Caenorhabditis elegans: one gene and its partners. The protein of the gene in region 1 binds, or shares a complex with, the protein of each later gene. Each region holds a gene or a part of one and is shown on either strand. Other genes may lie near its edges.

Region 1 (7,317 bases):
AAGTATGATTTTTACAATGTTAGACCAAAAAATTCGGAATTTTCGACGGTTTTCAGTCGAAAATTGTGATTTTCGTATAAAACTGCGGAATTTGATGAGCTTAGACCAAAATTTCTACCGTTTTTACCTGAAAATTGTCACTTTTTAATGAATTTTTATTTCAAAAACGGCCTGTTTTTGAAGATTTGGACTCCCACGAGGTGTTTTTCACCGATAATTTGCCATTTTCTGTGAATTTTCACTTGAAAACTGAAATTTCAGCTGAAAATTCCGGTTTTTTACTTAAAAATTTAGATTTTTGAAAATTTTGCAAATAAAACCTCAAAATTTGAGCTGTAAATTCCCAATATTTTGGCCAAAAATTTACCATTTCAGCTGAAAATGTTAAAATTATCACTGAAAAAGCCAATTTTTAGCCAAAAATTCAAATTTTCAGCTTCAAATCTCAATTTTCTCAAATTTTCAGAAACCGGAAAAGTCGCCACAATCATAATCCGTGGATCCTCTCAATCTCGTATTGATGACGTCGAAAGAGCTGTCGATGATGCTGTAAACACCTATAAAGCTCTTACAAAAGACGGGAAATTGCTCGCCGGAGCCGGAGCCGTCGAAATTGAGCTCGCCAAAGAAATTGAGTCGTTTGGAGCAAAAGCACCTGGTTTGGAGCAATATGCAATCAAAAAGTTCGCCCACGCACTCGAAACTCTTCCAAAAGCTATTGCTGAGAACGCTGGAATGCCAACCACTGAAACTCTGACAAAACTCTACGCGGAGCATGTTGCTGGAAAGAAAAACGCTGGAATTGATATCTGGAAGCGGGGTACGGCTTGAAAAAACCCAATGAAAGCACTGAAAATTCGAAGAAAATCGAATTTTCGGTTTAAAATCTGACAATTTAGGTCGAAAAATGACTGGAAAACTTTAATTTTTGACTGAAAATTCAAAATTTTCTGCTGAAATTTACCGAAAACATTTCTAACTGAAAATTTGAATTTTCACCGGAATTCCGCTGTTTCTGCTGAAAATCTAACAATTTCGGCTGAAATTCGCCGAAAACCTAAATTTTCCACTGTAAATCCAATAATTTAGGTCGAAAAATGGCCGAAAAACTTGAATTTTACCTGAAAATGTGCATTTTTGACTGAAAATGTGACCGGAAACATCAATTTTCTTTTGTTTTGCTTCACTTTTTTAAAGTTTTCTTCAGTTTTTGCATTAAAATAACTGATTTTTCACAGCTGGAAACCCTCACAAAACCCGGAATTTTCGCTAAAAATAGGCAATTTTCAGTCAAAAGTCAACTGAAATTCTTCCAAAAAACGTCAAAATTTCCAAAAAAAATCCCCCAATTCCAGACAACACATTCAATTTTTGCTAAAAATTCCAAAAAAAAATATCAGCAAACTGACAGAAAATTTTCAAGTTTTAATCAAAATTGGCCAATTTTCCTTTTGAAAAACCTCAACTTTTCGGTTCAAGCTCAGAAAATTAGCTGAAAATCCGAAATTTTCAACTGAAATTTCTTTAAATCAACTCAAAAATGCAAAAAATTGAATGAAAAAATCGAAAACTCAGCCAAAAATCGGCCATTTTCAACTCTGAAAAATGCCAAATTTTCAGGTAAAAATTCCTCAAAACCCCCCGAAATTTTGGCTAAAAATGTCAATTTCCAGCGCATAAAACTTGTAAATTTTCAATCAAAATTCTGAAAAATCCCGAATTTTAAACTAAAATTCCTTCTTTTTTTTCAGAAACAATGGACGCCGTCGTCAACAACATTTTCGACCTCTACGCTGGAAAACGACTGGCAATTAAGCTCGCCACAGACGCCGCCAGCACAATTCTCAAAGTTGATCAGATTATTATGTCAAAGCAGGCGACTGGAGGACCAAAACCACGTGGACCAAAGGCTCAAGATGAGGATGACGATGGAATGGCCTAATTTTTTTGTGTGCATTTTTGCTGAAAAATTGGGGAAATTTGAGTGAAAATGAGCTGAAAATCGATTTTTCAGCGAAATTTTAGACAATTTTCCCCCACTTTTTCAGATTTTCCCCTCGAATTTCCCCGCCGTTTCCCTGGGAATTGAGCTGAAATTGCAATTATCTTGAAAATTCGCTTAACAGTTTTTAGCTCATTTTCCACCATTTTTCCCCGTATTTTTTAAATTTTCCCGCTCTATATGCCTTCTCCGTATGATTTTTTGCAATTTCCCCGTTTTTATTGATTTTCGCTGGAAAATGAGCTGAAAATTCGATTTTTGCTTAAAAATTAATTTTTTTTTTTTAACGCGAAAATTCAGTTCCAAATTTACTCGATTTTGGTCAAATTTAGCTAAAAATTTGCATTTTTCAGCCAAAATTTTCCAGTTTTTGCCAGAAAATGGGCTTAAAATTGTCATTTTCTTCTGAAAAATCGAACTTTTGCCCCATTTTCAGCCGAATTTCAGCCTTTTTCCTCCAATTCTCCATAATTTTTAATGCTATCCCCCAACCCGTTCTGAATCTGAAAATCACAGTTTATGATCTTAAAATTGCGCCTTAAATTCTATAATTTTCAGCTTTTCCCCCTCGAAATTTTGTTTTTTTTTCTCGTTTTTTGCTTCACGTTGTGTTTGTTATAAAATTCTCCAAAAAAATCACAAAAAATTAGAAATTTTAAAGAAAAAATAGTCGAATTTCCTATATTTTTATCTGAAAATTCCCCCCAAAATTTTGTTGTAAAATTTCCACAATTTCAGCTGAAAATGAGCGGCGAAATTGAACGTTCACAGGAGGTGGCGGTCATTTTTGCACAGGATACCGATCACAAGGCTCAATATGAAGCGTAATATTTTTGGATTTTTGAGAAAATTTGGAGCTAAAAATGTGAAAATCTGGAAATTTTTAGCAAAAAATCCCAAATTTTTGTATTTTTCATTGGAAAATCTGAATTTTGTAAATTTTCAGCTGAAAAAATATGAAAAAAAAAAAACGATTTTAGCTATGTAGAAATTTTGAAAAAAAAACGAATTTTCACGCAAAAACATTTCCTAATTTAAAAAATTAGTAAAATTCGCGAAAAATTGAAATTTTTATCTTTTTTTTCCAGAAAATCTGAAATTTTCAAATTTTTATACTTAAAATCTGAAAAATTCTATTTAAAAACTCAAGTTTTCATTTATTTTCTACGAATTTTGAAATGAAAAATTCTTACAAATCCCGCACTTTTTTCGTTCAAAAATTGGAAAAAAACTAATTATTAGCTAAAAAATTTCCAATTTTTGTATCAAAAAACTCGAAAATTCTCAAATTAAAAAAATTTTTTAATTTTTTTGCTGAAAATCACGCTAAAAATTTCAGCTTTTTCACGTAAAATGTGATTTTCTGAAATTTCATGTAATTTTTTAGCTAAAAAGCCGAAATTTTCTCGATTTTCAGACAAAAAATTCCCCGATTTTTGCAGATTGGCGAAGCTTTGCAACAAATATTTGCCACAAAATGCGATGGGACGAGTCGATACGGCGGAAATTATTAAAATCATTGATACAGGTTGGAACACGACGAAAATTTCGGATTTTTCAGTGGGAATCTGGCTAAAAATTACGAAAAATGATGAGTTTTGGTGAAAAAATGGACGAAAATCGCTCAAAATTGGACAATTTGGTTGGAATCTGGCTGAAAATCGATAAATCTCGATAAAAATTGACGGAAAACGAGAACATTTTCGGAATTCCTGTTGAAATTTAGCTGGAAATAAATAAATTACATTGAAAAAAATTTTTTTTTGAATTTTTGGAGCTGAAAATTGGCAGAAAATCCGATTTTTTCAGGAAAAATCTTTAAAAATTTACATTTTTTTTTACAAAATGGACTCAAAATTAGCTTAAATCGCTCAAAAAAGGCTGAAAATTCCATATTTTAAGTGAAATATTTTAAGTGAAAAATATGGAATTTTCAGCCTTTTTCGAGCGATTTAAGCTAATTTTGAGTCCATTTTGTAAAAAAAAATGTAAATTTTTAAAGATTTTTCCTGAAAAAATCGGATTTTCTGCCAATATTCAGCTCCAAATCCAAAAAAAAAAATTTTTCAATGTAATTTATGAATTTTCACAAAAATCCAATTTTTCGTTCGTTTTCTGCAGTTTTGTTTTTTTTTTTTGAAAAGTTAAAAATTTCCTTTAAAAAACGCGAAATTTCCAATTTTTCACGGTAAATGTGATTTTCAGCCAGTAGTTTTCAACCGTTTTTTCGCGGGAAAAATTGAATTTCTAAAGATTTTCCTCGAACAATTCGATTTTTCCGGTATAAAAAGCGACCTTTTACCGATTTTTCACAGAAAATTCAGATTTTGAGCCTTTTTCACCCTCAGAAGCCAAAAAAAACCCCCAAAAATTGGATTTTTCTTGAAAAATTTGAATTAAGAAACTCAAATTTTCAAACCGTTTTTCCACGGAAAAAGTGCGTTTTTCAACGATTTTTCTCGAAAATTCTCAATGTTCTGCGTTTTTAAGCGATTTTCAGCTGATTTTTCACGAAAAAATCGAGTTTTCAGGGATTTTGATATATTTTTCTTGAAAAAATCGGATTTTCAGCTGTTTTTTCCACGGAAAAAGTGATTATTTAACTTTTTTTCCAGAATAATTGGATTTTCAGCCAATTTTAGGCTTAAAATAGGGCCTTTTAACGAAAAATGTGACTTTTAGGACATTTTTCAATTTTTCGCATAAAATTAAATAAAAATGGAATTTTTTTACCATTTTTTTTTCAAATTTTCAGGTTCAAAATAAAGCTTTAAAAAAGTGGAAATTTCTAGTTTTTAGGCTTAAAATAGGCTTCTTAGACGAAGATTTTCAAGCTTTTCGTTAAAAAAAACAGGAAAAAATTAATATTTGTATAAAAAAATTGAATTATCAGCTAAAAATTACAATTTTTGCACTGTTTCAGTGCAAAATTTGTATTTCTTTTAGAATTTTTAGCAGCCTATAACCCCAAAAATGTTTGCAGTAATCGCATTGGAGACTGGAAGTATGGTTGTATCACGTCAATTTGTATCACTTATCACTGAAAGATTGGATAATCAACATTTGGAATCAGAATGTGTTAAGGCTATTTCAGAAGGAATTTTGGCGATTATTAAGACTCGAACCATCTCTTATGAGGATCAGGTACTTGGAAATGCACTGCAACTTTTTCCTCACGAGGGACGAGGAACAGTGGTTTCTAGGCCATGGCCGAGGGGCCGACAAGTTTCAGCGGCCATTTATCTTGCTTTGTTTTCCGCCTGTTTTCTTTCGTTTTTCACAGCTTTTTCCCGTTTTTTCTTATTAAAACTGATAAATAAATATTTTTTGCAGATGATAAAACAATTTCGAAGTAAAAAAATTATGTATTCAGTGGGCAAGCAGCGGTGAAAGTGGGCATTGTAATATGATGGATTACGGGAATACAAAACCTAAATTTTTTCTGAAACATGATACATATGATGCTTAGATGCTGAAGCTACCTGATTTTCATATCAAGACCGCTGAAAAAGTTTTGAGGTTTCCAAAATTCAACTTTTTGTGCGAAAATCTCGACTTTTTCACCAAAAAAGTTGAATTGTGGAAATCTCAAAACTTTTTCAGCGGTCTCGTTATGAAAATCAGGTAATTTCAGCATCTAAGCATCATATGTATCATGTTTCAGAAAAAGGTTAGGTTTTGTATTCCCGTAATCCATCATATTGCATTGACCACTTTCACCGCTGCTTGCCCACTGAATACATAATTTTTTTACTTGGAAATTGTTTTAGCATCTGCAAAAAATATTGATTTATCAGTTTTAATAAGAAAAAATGGGACAAAGCTGTGAAAAACAAAAGAAAACAGGCGGAAAACAAAGCAAGATAAATGGCCGCTGAAACTTGTCGGCCCCTCGGCCTTGGCCTAGAAACCACTTTTCCTCGTCCCTCGTGAGGACAAAGTTGCAGTGAAATGGAGCATTTTGCAGAAAAAATTGAAAAATTTGAAGAAAAACGAACGATTTTATGGGATTCTGCGGAAAATTTGAAGATATTTGAAAAAAAAAATTCGGAATTTTTGGAGTTTTTTAGCAGAAATTCAAAAAAATTTCGATTTAAAATTCAGGATTTTATGTGATTTTTCGGAAAAATTTTCAATCGTTTTTTTTTTCCGATATTTTGGGCTTTAGGCTCAGGCTCAGGCTTAACCCCTTATTTATCGAGAAAAACGTTATAAAATTGAAGAAAAATTGAAGAAAAAGGGCAAAATTCTGGAAAATATCGAAACTCTTTTCAGTTTAAAAATAAAAAATTATTTCACCTAGAAAAATCTAGAAAAATTGAGTTTTCAATGAAAAATTGTGAAAAATGGAGGGAAAAAAGTAGAATTTGGCGTAAAATTCTAAAAGAAATACAAATTTTGCACTGAAAAAGTGCAAAAATTGTAATTTTTAGCTGATAATTCAATTTTTTTATACAAATATTAATTTTTTCCTGTTTTTTTTTAACGAAAAGCTTGAAAATTTTCGTCTAAGAAGCCTATTTTAAGCCTAAAAACTAGAAATTTCCACTTTTTTAAAGCTTTTTATTTTGAAACTGAAAATTTGAAAAAAAAAAGGCAAAAATTCCATTTTTATTTAATTTTATGCGAAAAATTGAAAAAAATTGGAAAAATGTCCTAAAAGTCACACATTTTTCGTTAAAAGACCCTTTTTTAAGCCTAAAATCCCAATTTTTCAGGTCTGTATCCTCCGCCTCATGCTTGCAAGCCTCTACGAAAAAGAAGGCCGTATCAAGGACGCGGCCCAGGCCCTAATCGCAATAAATTCCGACACAAGCCCGAAATTCAACGGCCCACAAGCGGCGAAAGAAGGCGCCAAGGCCCAGCTGTGCATTCGAATTACGAAGCTTCTTCTCGACTGTTCTGAAATTGATGAAGCCGAGCAATATGTGAATCGGACGAGTATTCTTATGGTTGACCTCGGCGCAAATCCAGATATTCAGATTGAGCATAAAGCTTTGCAGGCTCGAGTTTCAGGTACTTCTACGGCCTGGAAATTTTAAACTTTAAAAAATTCGGACAAAAATGAGTTTTTCCATGCAAAAACCCCGAAAAAATTGGTGAAATTGTCTTGATTTTGTGATTTTTCACACACGAAATATCTCTTTTAAAAATCAAAAAAAAGCTGAAATTTGACTGAAATTGTGAAAATTGTGATTTTTTCGACAGAAAAAGTTAGAAAAATTGCCGAAAATTACGGAATTTTTCGAATTTTGCCGTAAAAGTTAAAAAAAAAATTTTTTTTTCGAAAAAATTCTGAAATTCTCTAAAAATTG
Region 2 (6,191 bases), 890 kb from region 1:
AAACGAAAGGATACTACAAACTCCATAACTAATTTCTTCCATCGATTCACGCGCGGAGACCGTGAGGAGAAGAAAATAGTTGAAGAGGAGGAAGAAGAGCACGTGGAGCGTCCCGAGAAGCTTATAAGCCCGGAATCCGAGGAAAAATGGTTTGAATCGAGAACTCTGGACGAGAAAGTGCTCGGACACGAAGGAGACGCAGATATGTACGAATGGGATCCAAATACAATGACAGAGACTCTTGTTCGGGAGCCTCCATCGCCTCTGGAGCCCAGTAGTATGATATTCGAGGAGAAAGGAATGCTGAAACTACTGGAAGATTTTCGAAATGGTGAGCTCCGATGGCTAGATGCTCCACAGATTTCTGCGTTGGGAAAAGTGAAAGAAGCGCATGAAGATGTGTCGAATATTCATTTACAAGTTTATGAAATTGAGTCGGCTAGGAGGAAAAAGAGAAAACAAGCGAGGAGTGTCAAGGAGAATTTTGAATTTGTAAGGAAAAATTCGGATTTCCATAAAAAAGGGATTAATTTGTGCAATTTTACGAAGAAATCGGGATTTTTGGAATGTAAAAAGCTCAATGTGATCTAGAAAATGTGTTTTTGGCAGGATTTTCCTTTTTTTTTAAATCCGATTTTCAGTCTATTTTCTAGCTAAACGACTCCGAAGATCTCTCAAAAAACTAACAAAAAATGCGACAGACGCCAGTTTTTTAATCTGAAAAAAAGCAGAAAGTCCCAAAAAACGGTCCCAGGAATCACAAAATATCTGTTTTGTGATATTTAGCGCTGCAAAAAATAAAAAAAACTCGCTGAATGCAATATTCCAATAGCTTTTTACCTTTAAAAAACTCAAATTTTCATTAAAATCATCAAAATTCTGAGAGCCTCACCCATAAATCCTTAGCCTCACCCAAAAATCATGAGAGCCTCAACCAAAAATCCTGGGCCTCAATCAAAATTCCGGAGAGCCTCACCCAAAAATCCAGAAAGCCTCAACCAAAAATCCAGAGAGCCTCAACTAAAAATCCAAAAATACTAGAATATACTAAAATTCCCCATATTTTCAGTCGGATTCGGATGATTCAGAAGAAGAACGAGAAATCGAACGATTATTCGAATCGATGAATACTCATATGATTGACATGCATTCTGCACTCGATACCGTACCATTTTACGACGCTTCTCAAAATCAACGCACTGAAAAAATCGATAACGACGAGGAGTATTTTTCGTCTTGAATCGATCATGTTTCCTGAATTTTTCACGCATTTTCTAATTTGAAAATTCTATAATTTTGACCCAAATTTCTTCGTTTCCAGCTAATATTTGCATTTTTTTAGGGCATTTCTCACAGTTTTTCTCGAAAAATCCCCGTATTGTCGATTTTTTTTTCGAAATTTTTCCGAGCAGGAAAATATTGTGAATTTCACCTGTTTTGAGGCACCACGGATTCAAGATCAGCTGGGATTTTGGATCTAAAATTTCCGAAATTGGCACCGTGCCAACGAATAAAACGCTATTTTTCTCGAAGAAAAGCGTGACAACGATGCTCCGATGTTACGCGTCGCGTGTTGTTTAGCGTATTTTCTATAAGTAATTTTCAAAAAAACAGCGTTTTATGCCTGACACGGTGCTTTTTCGGTGATATTTGAACTGAAATACCCTAAAATTTTCGTGATTCCCTCTATTTTCTAGCAAAGTTTTCTCTTTTCCCCAAATTTTACCCATTTTTCACTAATTTCTCGGTATTTTCCTGTACAAGCTCGATTTTTACTCAATTTCTATATTTTTCTCGGTTTCTTCTCTAAATTTTCTCACCAATCGCCATTCCCTGTGCAATTTTCTCTTATTTTTTCGTATATCTTCTCTTACTCGTTTCTTGTCACACATTTTCACGATAAAATGTAAATATTTTCAGATATCACAGGAAAATCCCATTCACAAAAGGATCATGACAAGTAAGTTTATTATTTAACCTGTAAATTTTCTAAAAAAATCGGAAAAGCTTTTTCAGCTTTTTTCAATAAGCTCTTCACGGGAGCCTCATCATCATCGTCTGCAGCAGCTTCTTCTGGAATGGATCTTGGTAGTATGGAGTCATTGTGTGCTGCGATCAATGAGCTTTGCAGTGAAAAACATGGTAATTTGGAGGGTTTTGTTGGAAAAAGAAGAAAATTAGTGATTTTCTCAATTTTTCAACTTGAAAATGTATTTATTCGCTGAAATTTTCGGGAAATTTGAATGATTTCATTCAAAAACCCATCGAAATTCTCGTAGAAGTTCGTGAAAAATTGATGAATATCATCTGAAAAGGGATCGAATTCCGAAAAAAAAGAGCCAAATTTTGCTGACATCTGAAATTTTTTCTTTGTCCCCAGTTTTCTTTGTCGCAGCCACTGGAATTTTACTTTTCTGAAATTATCACTCTTTAATCTAAGTTTTATTAGTTTATCTTGTGTAAATTCATTGATTGAGACAATTTTAAACCGTGAGGCATCCAATTTTTATCATTTTTGGATGTCTCTTCGCTTAAAAATTGTCTCAATCAATGAATTTACACAAGATAAATTACCAAAATGTGAATTAAAAGTGATAATTTCAGAAAAGTTGAATTACAGTCTCTGCGACAAAGAAAACTGGGCAAAATTTCTGATTTTTGCACTAATATGCCTTTTTTAATTTTGACCTCAACCAAAAAATCATGGTAGCCTCAACCAAAAATCATGGTAGCCTCAACCAAAATTCCGGAGAGCCTCACCCAAAAATCCAGAAAGCCTCAACCAAAAATCCTTAGCCTCAACCAAAAATCCTGAGCCTCAACCAAAAAATCATGGTAGCCTCAACCAAAAATCCTGAACCTCAACCAAAAATCCTGAACCTCAATCAAAAATCCTGAGCCTCAACCAAAAATCATGGTAGCCTCAACCAAAAATCCTGAGCCTCAATCAAAAATCCTTAGCCTCAACCAAAAATCCTTAGCCTCAACCAAAAATCATGGTAGCCTCAACGAAATATCCTGAGCCTCAACCAAAAATCCTGAGCCTCAACCAAAAATTCTTAGCCTCAACCAAAAATCATGGTAGCCTCAACCAAAAATCCTGAGCCTCAATCAAAAATCCTGAGCCTCAATCAAAAATCATGGTAGCCTCAACCAAAAATCCTGAGCCTCAATCAAAAATCCTTAGCCTCAACCAAAAATCATGGTAGCCTCAACGAAATATCCTGAGCCTCAACCAAAAATCCTGAGAGCCTCAACCAAAAATCCTGGTAGCCTCAACCAAAAATCCTGAGCCTCAACCAAAAATTCTTAGCCTCAACCAAAAATCATGGTAGCCTCAACCAAAAATCCTGAGTCTCAACCAAAAATCCTGAGAGTCTCAACCAAAAATCATGGTAGCCTCAACGAAATATCCTGAGCCTCAACCAAAAATCCTGAGAGCCTCAACCAAAAATCCTGAGCCTCAATCAAAAATCCTGAGCCTCAACCAAAAATCATGGTAGCCTCAACCAAAAATCCTGAGCCTCAATCAAAAATCCTTAGCCTCAACCAAAAATCCTGGTAGCCTCAACCAAAAATCCTGAGCCTCAATCAAAAATCCTGAGCCTCAATCAAAAATCATGGTAGCCTCAACCAAAAATCCTGAGCCTCAATCAAAAATCCTTAGCCTCAACCAAAAATCCTGGTAGCCTCAACCAAAAATCCTGAGCCTCAATCAAAAATCCTTAGCCTCAACCAAAAATCATGGTAGCCTCAACGAAATATCCTGATCCTCACCCAAAAATCCTAAGCCTCAACCAAAAATCCATACAAAATTGTTGAAAATTTTTTGTTTCATTATTAAATTCGGTGGTTTTGGACCAGTTGTAGTCTATTTAAGCAGAATACCCACAAACTGTAATCCCGCTTTAAAATAAATTTATTAAAAAATTTGTTTTATTTAAAAAAAAATTCAATTTAAGGATACCGTCAAGCCTATTTTTTCCAGAATTCCGCATTAATTTCCCGTATTTAGTTTCAGAGAATGTTGGTGAACTGGCCGCTGGAATTGTTCGTAAGAATAAAGAGCTTTTCGAAAAGAAATCGAACGATGTTGAAGCATTTTTGCTTCATTGTAGTCCAAATGTTGGTTCAGCTGCAATGGTTGCTGCAATTAAAGGAATGTTTGATACGTCGGCTGCAAAAAATAATGAAACTGGAACAGATCGAGCTGTTGAGCTTCTCAATCATTATGTTGATGAGAATAATTTTGTTGGAGGACATTTGAAGCTTGTACCTGAAATTAGTGAGTTTCTAGATAAAATTGAGAAGAAAAACTGGAAAATATGGATGATTTACATGGAATTTATGCGAAAAATCTAGATTTAAAGAGAAAAATGCAGCTTCACTTCGCCGAATTTTCCGTTTTTTTTTAAAGCAGAAAGTCAAAGACGTCGGATTTCAAAGGAAAATAAAAATAAAAACTTGAATTTAGAGAAAAGCTAGGCAAAAATAGAAAACTTAACTGAAAATTTCTCCTTCTTCCTATAATTCTTCCTAAATTTTATTTTTTTTTTCTCAATTTCCCTCAAAAATCTATAAATTTCAGACTGAAAATTAAAAAACTAAGAACTTCCTAATTTTTCGTCCTCAAAAAAATTCGAAAATCCGAATTTTTCCACAGAAAAAAGTTGTCTGAAAATGCATTCTTTAGTGAAAAAATGACAAATTTTAACGATTTTCTTGTAAAAAGTCACTTTTCCATAGATTTTTTTTTCACTTTTTGAATGGAGCAATTGAAAAATCTTTCAAGAAAAATTGAAAAATATTGGCAAATAAGCTCGAATTTAAAGAAAAACTAGGCAAAAATTGAAAATTTAACTGAAAATTTGATTTTTTTTTAACTTTTAAAATGTAATTTTTTCCAATTTCCCTCTAAAAAAAATTTTTTTTTCAGTTTTCCCACTGCTCCGCGACGTCGGCTTATATTGTTTGGAAAAGAAGAATAAACCAGAAATAGGACAAAGAATTATCATGAAAGCACTCGGATCAATGTTCCCAAGAAATGGCTCAAATGCTCCAAATGTGCTCACTTCTGCACACGGTGTGCTCTTTGCGTGTGCTCTTGAAACAAAGGATTATGCATCTGTTGAACCATTTATTGATCTACATGTTGATGAGATTGCAAATGAGAATTGTATTCAAGATCAGGAAAAGAGTGATAATAGAGAACGAGATTTTGGAGATGTTTTTCTTGGAAGAATGAAGGTGCATTATGGAAGAAAAAAGAAATATCTGGAAATTTGGATATTTTCAAATTTTCGTGTGAAAAAACCTTTAAAAATGGGTATTTTTTGTAGGAAAAAAAGTTAGAAACGTTATATGAAAATACATCATTTTTTGAGGTTTTTTACACGCAAATTTGGAAAAAAAATGTCTAGAAACTGATAATTGCCCCCAAAAACAATATTTTTCAATTCTTTTTGGATTAAAAACATTTTTTTAAAAACTGAAAAGTTAACGAAAATTATACATGTATAATTATATTTAAACGATTGTTTTGAATATTTACACTGGATTCTCAGTGAAAGCTTACGAAAACCAATTTTTTCCGAAAAATTCGGAAAAAAAGTGCGAAAAAACGCAAAAATAGGATATTTTCAATTTTTTTCTGTTCCAAAAAACTTTTTTCAAAAAAGCTTCCAAAACACTAAATTTTTTTAAAATTGCTTGGTTTTAAAAACATTTAAAAAGCTGAAAAGTTAACGAAAATTACAAAAATATTTTTATAAGTTAAAAAAACGCGATTTTCTGAACATTTGCATTGGGTTTTCAGTAAAATCTGAAGAAAACTATATTTTGAATATTTTTTTCCGAAAAATTCGGAAATAAGTGACAAAAAAACGCAAAAATGGGACATTTTCAATGTTTTCTGTTGCAAAAAACTTTTTTTTAAAATAAAATCTGAAATTACTAAATTTTCGAGCTCTTTGAGTTTTGAAATATTGCAAAAAAAACCTGAAAAATATGAAATGAAAATTTAAAAAATATATAAAAATTTGTTTAAAAAAAAATTTATATTAAATTTTAGTCTGGTTTGTAAATCCACATCAAAATGTTTTCTTGAATTTTTAAAAATAAAATTTGAAATTACTAAAAGTTTTCTGAAGTTTATAAATAAAAAAAACCGAAAAATATGAATAAAAAATGAA
Region 3 (6,208 bases), about 12 Mb from region 1:
GGAACGGTGCGCTGGATAAAGAAGAATTCACAAAAGTTCAACAGCTTATTATGTCCCAAACAACTGTAGGACAGCGTCATCGAGATCATATAACGCCAAACCAGTCGTTCCGTGTCGAGACAAACTCCGCTCTCGAAACATATTTCTTTGGAAAAGACGGAAAGGGGAGCTTGTCGTCTGAAAAATTTATCGAGTTTCAAGAGCGTCTACAACACGACATTTTAAAGATGGAATTTGAACGGAGAGATGCACTGGATAACCCGGATGGACTTATCAACGAAGATAGTTTTGCTCAACTTCTCCTTCTTCATGCTCAAATTAATGAGAAGAAACAGAAGCATATGTTGAAGCGGGTTAAACGAAGATTTAAAGGAGAAAATTTGAAAGGAATCAGTTTTGGAGAGACGAAAGCATTTTTCGAGTTTTTGTATCACATTGACGATGTAGATATTGCTCTACACTTTCATAAAATGGCTGGAATGTCGATAGATGCGAAGCTACTTCAACGAGTTGCGGTCAAAGTGACTGGAATACCTCTATCGGATCACGTTGTGGATGTGGTGATTACTTTGTTCGATGACAATTTGGATGGAAAATTATCACATGAAGAAATGGTTGCTGTGATGAGGAGAAGAATGCGTAGAGGTTTAGAGCGACCAAGAGATACTGGACTTTTCCGTTTGTTTGATGCAGTTCTGGAATGTGGAAAACGAGCTTATCACGCCAGTCCTCTTCCATTTTATTAGTGGTGCCCATGGCCACTGTAAATACTTGTTTATAAATAAAGCTTTTCATTCTTTTTAACAAATTATATTTGTTATGTTCATAAAAAGTGTTCGTTTCACTTTTCTTATCTTAATTTCATTTTTTTATTCTTTATTTCTTTCTCCACATTTTAAAACACATTTTTCAGGAAAATCATGTCGTTGGCTTTGAGAAAGACTTTGGGCGTCGCTCGCTTTTCCATGAGAACCGCCAGCTTCCAGGCTGTTCCAACCAACGCCGGAAAGACCCCACCAACCCTCGAACAATTCGATCCACTGAACCCAGGAGAGTGGCAACTCGGAGCCGGAGGAAAGATCCTTCCACGTCTGCCAGAGGGAACCAAATGCGGAAACCTTGTCATGGGAAAGTACGGACTCTACGATCCAATCCTCAAGAAAAGAGTTGATACCTACGCCAATGCTCTTCTCGAAGGAAAGAAGTCCGAAGAGGCTGGACCATTCGATGTCGCTGTCAGCAAGATCGCCAAGGTCCTTTCCTACATCTGCTTTGTCATCGCCATCTACAACCTCATCTCGTTGGTCAACGGAACTCCACTTCCACCACTTAGCCACGTCAAGGCTCCAGGATCCTAAATAATTTCCACTCGATTGCATTATCTCTTTTTTGTAGGAAGTTTTATGTTCTGTAAAACTTATGTCAATGTGAATCAATAAAATTCCCGTTTAGCTTGTTTTTCCACCAGTGAATCCAGGAATATTTTCAAAATTTCCAAATCATTATCTGGCTTGAAACAAAAAAACCGATTTCGAAACCAAATTTCGAAATAATTTTCAGAAATGGCATTGAACGCACCAAGCGGGAGCTGTAGCTCGAAGGTGCTTTTGCATCCTTTGGTTATTATGCAAATGTCCGAACACTACTCCAGAACAAAGGTCCAACAGGGTCCTACTGTGAAAAAAGTGTTCGGAGCAATTCTCGGACGGCAGAATGGACGACAAGTCGAGGCGATCAATTCATTTGTTCTGAAAATGGAGACAGAAGAAATGGCTGAGCCGGTTACTTTTAGCACGGAGCATCTCCTTCAAAGAGCAGATCAATGTCAGTTTTACTCTGTTCTTGCTCATTTTAGTTTTTTTTCCCCAAATTTCAGATCTGGAAGTGTTTCCCGAGCTCCAAGTTATCGGTCTTTATTGTGCTGGGGAGGATGATAATCTGACTCCCGAAGAGAAACCTCTTCTCTCAAAACTCACCAATGCGGTTCGCAATTCAGAGAAAGCCGGACAAATCGACGCGACACTTTTCCTTAAACTCAACTCTATCACTGCTGGAACCACTCGTAAACTTCCACTTTTCGCGTTTGAAGCAGACGTGACTGATCAGGAGAAGCATAAGCCAATTGAATGGATTTTAGTGTCGGAAGAAAGTGAACGTGTCGGTGTTAATCATATCGCTAAGTTATCAACGAAACATGGAAAAGACGGGAAATCAGTTGGAAAGAAACACGCGGAGGCTCAAGATGCAGCAATGAGCATGCTTCAGAATCGGGTTGATGTGCGTTCGAGAAATTGGAGGCCAGAAAAAGACAAAATTTCATAATGAGACTTCTGAAAATGCTGTTTAGCGGTTCAAAAATTTTAAAATAATACCTAAAATTCGCTAAAATGCATATTTCGATCTTATCTCGCATTAATTCGTTGATTTAAGACACATTTTCAGTCGATTGACACCTAATTTTGGAAAAAATGTTTGAAAAAAGTACCTCCATTTACTAGTAATTGCGAGCTAAACGACTAAAATATGTAACAACAGCTGCTGCGACATGAAAAGTTTGCGAAATTTCAGAATTTAGACAGTTTTGGCTCTTATTTTTTTTTGAAATTTTGACATACTTAAAAAGTTTATTAATATTATTTTGAGAAATCTCGTTATGAAAATCAATACAGCAGCAAACTAAAGTGGAATAGTCGAAATAGTTTTACTGCTTTATTAGACTCACAATTGACTGAAAACACCGAATTTCATAATGAAACTTCTTGAAAACGTCTCAAAAAAAAGTTATGACGGCTCAAAAAATAGCCTAAATGTAGTTAAAATTTGAAATTTGACCGACTTGTCAAGCGGCTGGAAACTAATTTTTTGAAATCTCCATCTAATTTTGAGTATAAAATTTAAATATCTTGCGTTTTCAACTTCATTTATGTATTTTAAAGCCGATGGACGGCGATATTTTTAATTTTTTTTTTACGAAATCTCGCCGTCCATCGACTTTAAAGTACCCAAATCGAGTTAAAAACGCAAGATAATGACATTGTATGCTCAAAATTTGACGGTGCTTTCAAAAAAAAAAATTGTTTCCAGCCGCTGCAACATTGCAAGACGGTCAAATTTCAAATTTTAACTAATTTTAGGCCATTTTTTGAGCCGTCATAACTTTTTATTGAGAAATTTTCAAGAAGTTTCATTATGAAATTCGGTGTTTTCAGACAATTTTGAGTCTAATAAAGCAATAAAACAATTTCGACTACTCCGCCTTTAATTTTTTTTACAAAAAAATAATTTTCAGCTAATCGTTGCCTATCTCGAAAAAGTGCAAGACGGAACACTTCAACCGAATTTTGAAATTTTGAAGGAAGCTAACTTGCTTGCTCAAAAGCTCAAAACCATTGATCGATATGCTGCTGAGTTCACTGATAGTTTCGAAAAGGAAGAGAAAACAATGACCGTATTCTCTCTGATGCCAAGATTGACAACTCTTCTCGGAAATATGCAAAATGTGTGGAACAAGTTGTCAGCTCAAAGAGCCGATCTTCTCGCCGACGATGGATTCCATGGAAAATCGACAAGCCGTTGGGCTCATCCGGTTCGATTCAAATCACAACATCTCGGTCGTCCGCAGCAGGCAGATGTAAGTTAATGCATTTAGAATATTTCTAAATCCTTTAGGAATGTTTGTTCCAGGATGACGATTATTTTGATGATGAAGATTTGGAGAACGATATGAGTGGACCACGGAGAAAAATTCATGCTGCTGATTCTCCAGCTGGATCGAGAAGACGACGTGTTCCGCCAAGAGGTAGATTTGGAAATTCTGAATTATTATGAAGACGCAGAAAAATTCACCTTCTTGGGGAAATTTTTTGAAAGCGGATTTTTCAGAAGTTTTGACATCAGATACGAGGTTTAACATTTTTTATCAACTATTAAAATTTAATTAAAAAGCACAAAAAAAAAAGACAAAAAATACCTGAAGGAAAATTCTAAATTTACGATTTAGCCGATTCAATTGGTCGTGGAACGATTTTTTTTTCAAAAATAAGCATTTTTGTGCGTCCTCATTTCAAAATCTTCTGGAAAACATTAAAAATGTTGATTTCAGCAATGAACTTCCTCGGTCGGAATTCTGGTATGCAAGCCGCCACGGACGAAATGGAATTGTCAGGTCAAGAGGAAAATATGGGAAGCAACTATATTCCAGACGTTCCAAGACCATCTGCAACAGCACACAACGAGTCGGACGAGTCGAGTCAAGCTTCATAAATATCCTTTTTTTGTTAAAAATTCACTGTAAAAATGCCACTTTTTCTTATTTATTTCATTGTTTCTCAAATTTTTACACCACTTTACGTGTTTTTCATCCCCATTTATCTGAAATATAATGTCTGATCTCCGATTCTCGATATTAAAAAAAGGTTAAACGTTCCTTATATCAATAGAATCCAGTTTAGTTTAGACTATAGTGATTTTTTCTACAGCACTAAATGCTTCGAAGTGTGATATTACGGCATAGTCGAACGATAAGCCGGAATAGCTGGGTGGCTAGAGCATTTCGAAGCGAGAAGGTCGACAAAGAAACGGTTTTTTTTTTCAAGAAAATGGATTTTTTTAAATTTAAAACTTCAGGGATTATTTGGAAATAAAAACTTGAAAACCGCAGAAAGTTTCAATGAATTACCGGCGGCAGTTAAAAAATCAACTGATGCTCTTATTCAGGTATTTAGGAGAGCTCTGAAATCCAATTGAAATCCTGTAAAATTCAAATTTTCAGGAGCTTCTAACCCCATCGCAGAATCCCAGAACTTCTATTCAAATTGTCGATGATATTTCGAATGAGATTTGCAAATCGGCGGATCTTGTAAGCTTCGCTTCGAAAAAAGTTCCCAAATTCAGAAGAACCACAAAAAAAAACGCGATTTTTGAGGCACCACGTTTTCAATATCTAGTCGGAAACAATGTCTACGAAAGCAAGATCTACAGTTTGGAGTTCTACGAAAACGAGAGCTACGCTATCAGGATCTGGCACCATGCCAACTGCGGTTTTCACAGTTTTCTCGAAGAAAATCGAAACAACGATGCTCCGATATCACGCATCGCGCGTTGTTTATCGTTTTCCAAAAGTTTTTATTTCAAAAAAAGCTTTTCTGAACGATAAACAACGCGAGCCGTGTAATATCGGAGCATCGTTTTTTCGATTTTCTTCGAGAAAACTGTGAAAACCGCAGTTGGCATGGTGCCAGATCCTGAAAACGTAGATCTTCGTTTCGTAGATCTTATTTTCGTAGATCTTGTTTCCGACTAGATCTTGAAAACGTGGTGTCTCACAAAAGGAGAGCAAATGGAAAAACAGAAGAAAAAAAACTTCAAAAAATGCGATTTTTAAATTTTGGCGAAATTTCCAGTTTGAATTTCCTCCAAAATTAGACACCACGCCCACTTCTTCTGATTGGTCGACAAGTGGGCGGAGCGAGTCTCTGATTGGTCCTAAAACCGTAAAAAAGTGAATTTTTTGGCTTTTTTGGTCTAGAAAAATCAATCTTACAAAATACTAAAAAAAAACCAAAAAAGTCTCTGTAGTTCTTATTTTCATGGGAATTCAAACAAGAATTTTGCTTTTTTTTGTCTGAAATTCAGAAAAACCACAATTTAAAAATCTAGAAAAACCGAAAAATTCATATTTTCGGCTACTTTCTAACTGTTTGAACTTCCAACCAATCAGCGACTTCGACCACGCCCATCTCTCCTGATTGGTTCGAGAGAAGGCGGGGCGAATCGAGGCACCACCGAAAGGATAACAGGTGAAAAAGGAGAAAAACGAAAAGGAGAATTACGAAACACAAAACCACGCCCATTTTTCAGTGCGGTGCGCAAGTTTTTGCAGAAACTTCTGCGAATTTTCATTTTCAAACGAAACAACGAAGCTCCGAAATAACGTATCGCGTGTTGTTTATCGTGAATGCGTTATTTCGGAGTTTCGTTGTTTCGTTTGAAAATGAAAATTCGCAGAAGTTTCTGAAAAAACTTGCGCACCGCACGAAAAATGGGCGTGGTTTTGTGTTCTCCTTCTCGTTTTTCTCCTTTTTCACCTGTTCTCCTTTCGGTGGTGCCTCGGCGAATCACGTGATGTATAAGAGTGTCTTATTTCGGTTTGATCTACGTAGATCTACAAAAAATGCGGGAAAAGAGACGCAGAGTTCTCAACTGATTT

Evidence for each region. The genes of interacting proteins can lie anywhere in the genome.
Region 2: csn-4 (region 1) and csn-3 share a complex: the UniProt entries of both Caenorhabditis elegans proteins name them as parts of the CSN complex.
Region 3: csn-4 (region 1) and csn-6 share a complex: the UniProt entries of both Caenorhabditis elegans proteins name them as parts of the CSN complex.

What each region holds. Positions count from the first base shown.
Region 1 is NC_003282.8:1,082,437-1,089,753, reverse strand, and holds the start of csn-4 (COP9 signalosome complex subunit 4), read left to right. Parts: upstream 1-2,740; 5' UTR 2,741-2,746; coding exon 2,747-2,826; intron 2,827-3,444; coding exon 3,445-3,530; intron 3,531-4,985; coding exon 4,986-5,146; intron 5,147-6,720; coding exon 6,721-7,018; intron 7,019-7,317. Other genes in the region: cct-8 (T-complex protein 1 subunit theta), read left to right, coding at 467-820, 1,752-1,942. UniProt on the Caenorhabditis elegans protein: Component of the COP9 signalosome complex (CSN), a complex involved in various cellular and developmental processes.
Region 2 is NC_003282.8:192,825-199,015, forward strand, and holds the start of csn-3 (COP9 signalosome complex subunit 3), read left to right. Parts: upstream 1-1,917; 5' UTR 1,918-1,953; coding exon 1,954-1,960; intron 1,961-2,016; coding exon 2,017-2,142; intron 2,143-4,015; coding exon 4,016-4,285; intron 4,286-4,936; coding exon 4,937-5,247; intron 5,248-6,191. Other genes in the region: intk-1 (INTaKe), read left to right, coding at 1-492, 1,070-1,240. UniProt on the Caenorhabditis elegans protein: Component of the COP9 signalosome complex (CSN), a complex involved in various cellular and developmental processes.
Region 3 is NC_003282.8:13,299,268-13,305,475, forward strand, and holds csn-6 (COP9 signalosome complex subunit 6), read left to right. Parts: upstream 1-1,556; 5' UTR 1,557-1,562; coding exon 1,563-1,824; intron 1,825-1,876; coding exon 1,877-2,277; intron 2,278-3,289; coding exon 3,290-3,631; intron 3,632-3,669; coding exon 3,670-3,799; intron 3,800-4,102; coding exon 4,103-4,263; 3' UTR 4,264-4,434; downstream 4,435-6,208. Other genes in the region: micu-1 (Calcium uptake protein 1 homolog, mitochondrial), read left to right, coding at 1-746; kdp-1 (KASH (Klarsicht/ANC-1/Syne Homology) Domain Protein), read left to right, coding at 921-1,358; Y67H2A.7 (Peptidase M3A/M3B catalytic domain-containing protein), read left to right, coding at 4,485-4,580, 4,627-4,716, 4,772-4,858. UniProt on the Caenorhabditis elegans protein: Component of the COP9 signalosome complex (CSN), a complex involved in various cellular and developmental processes.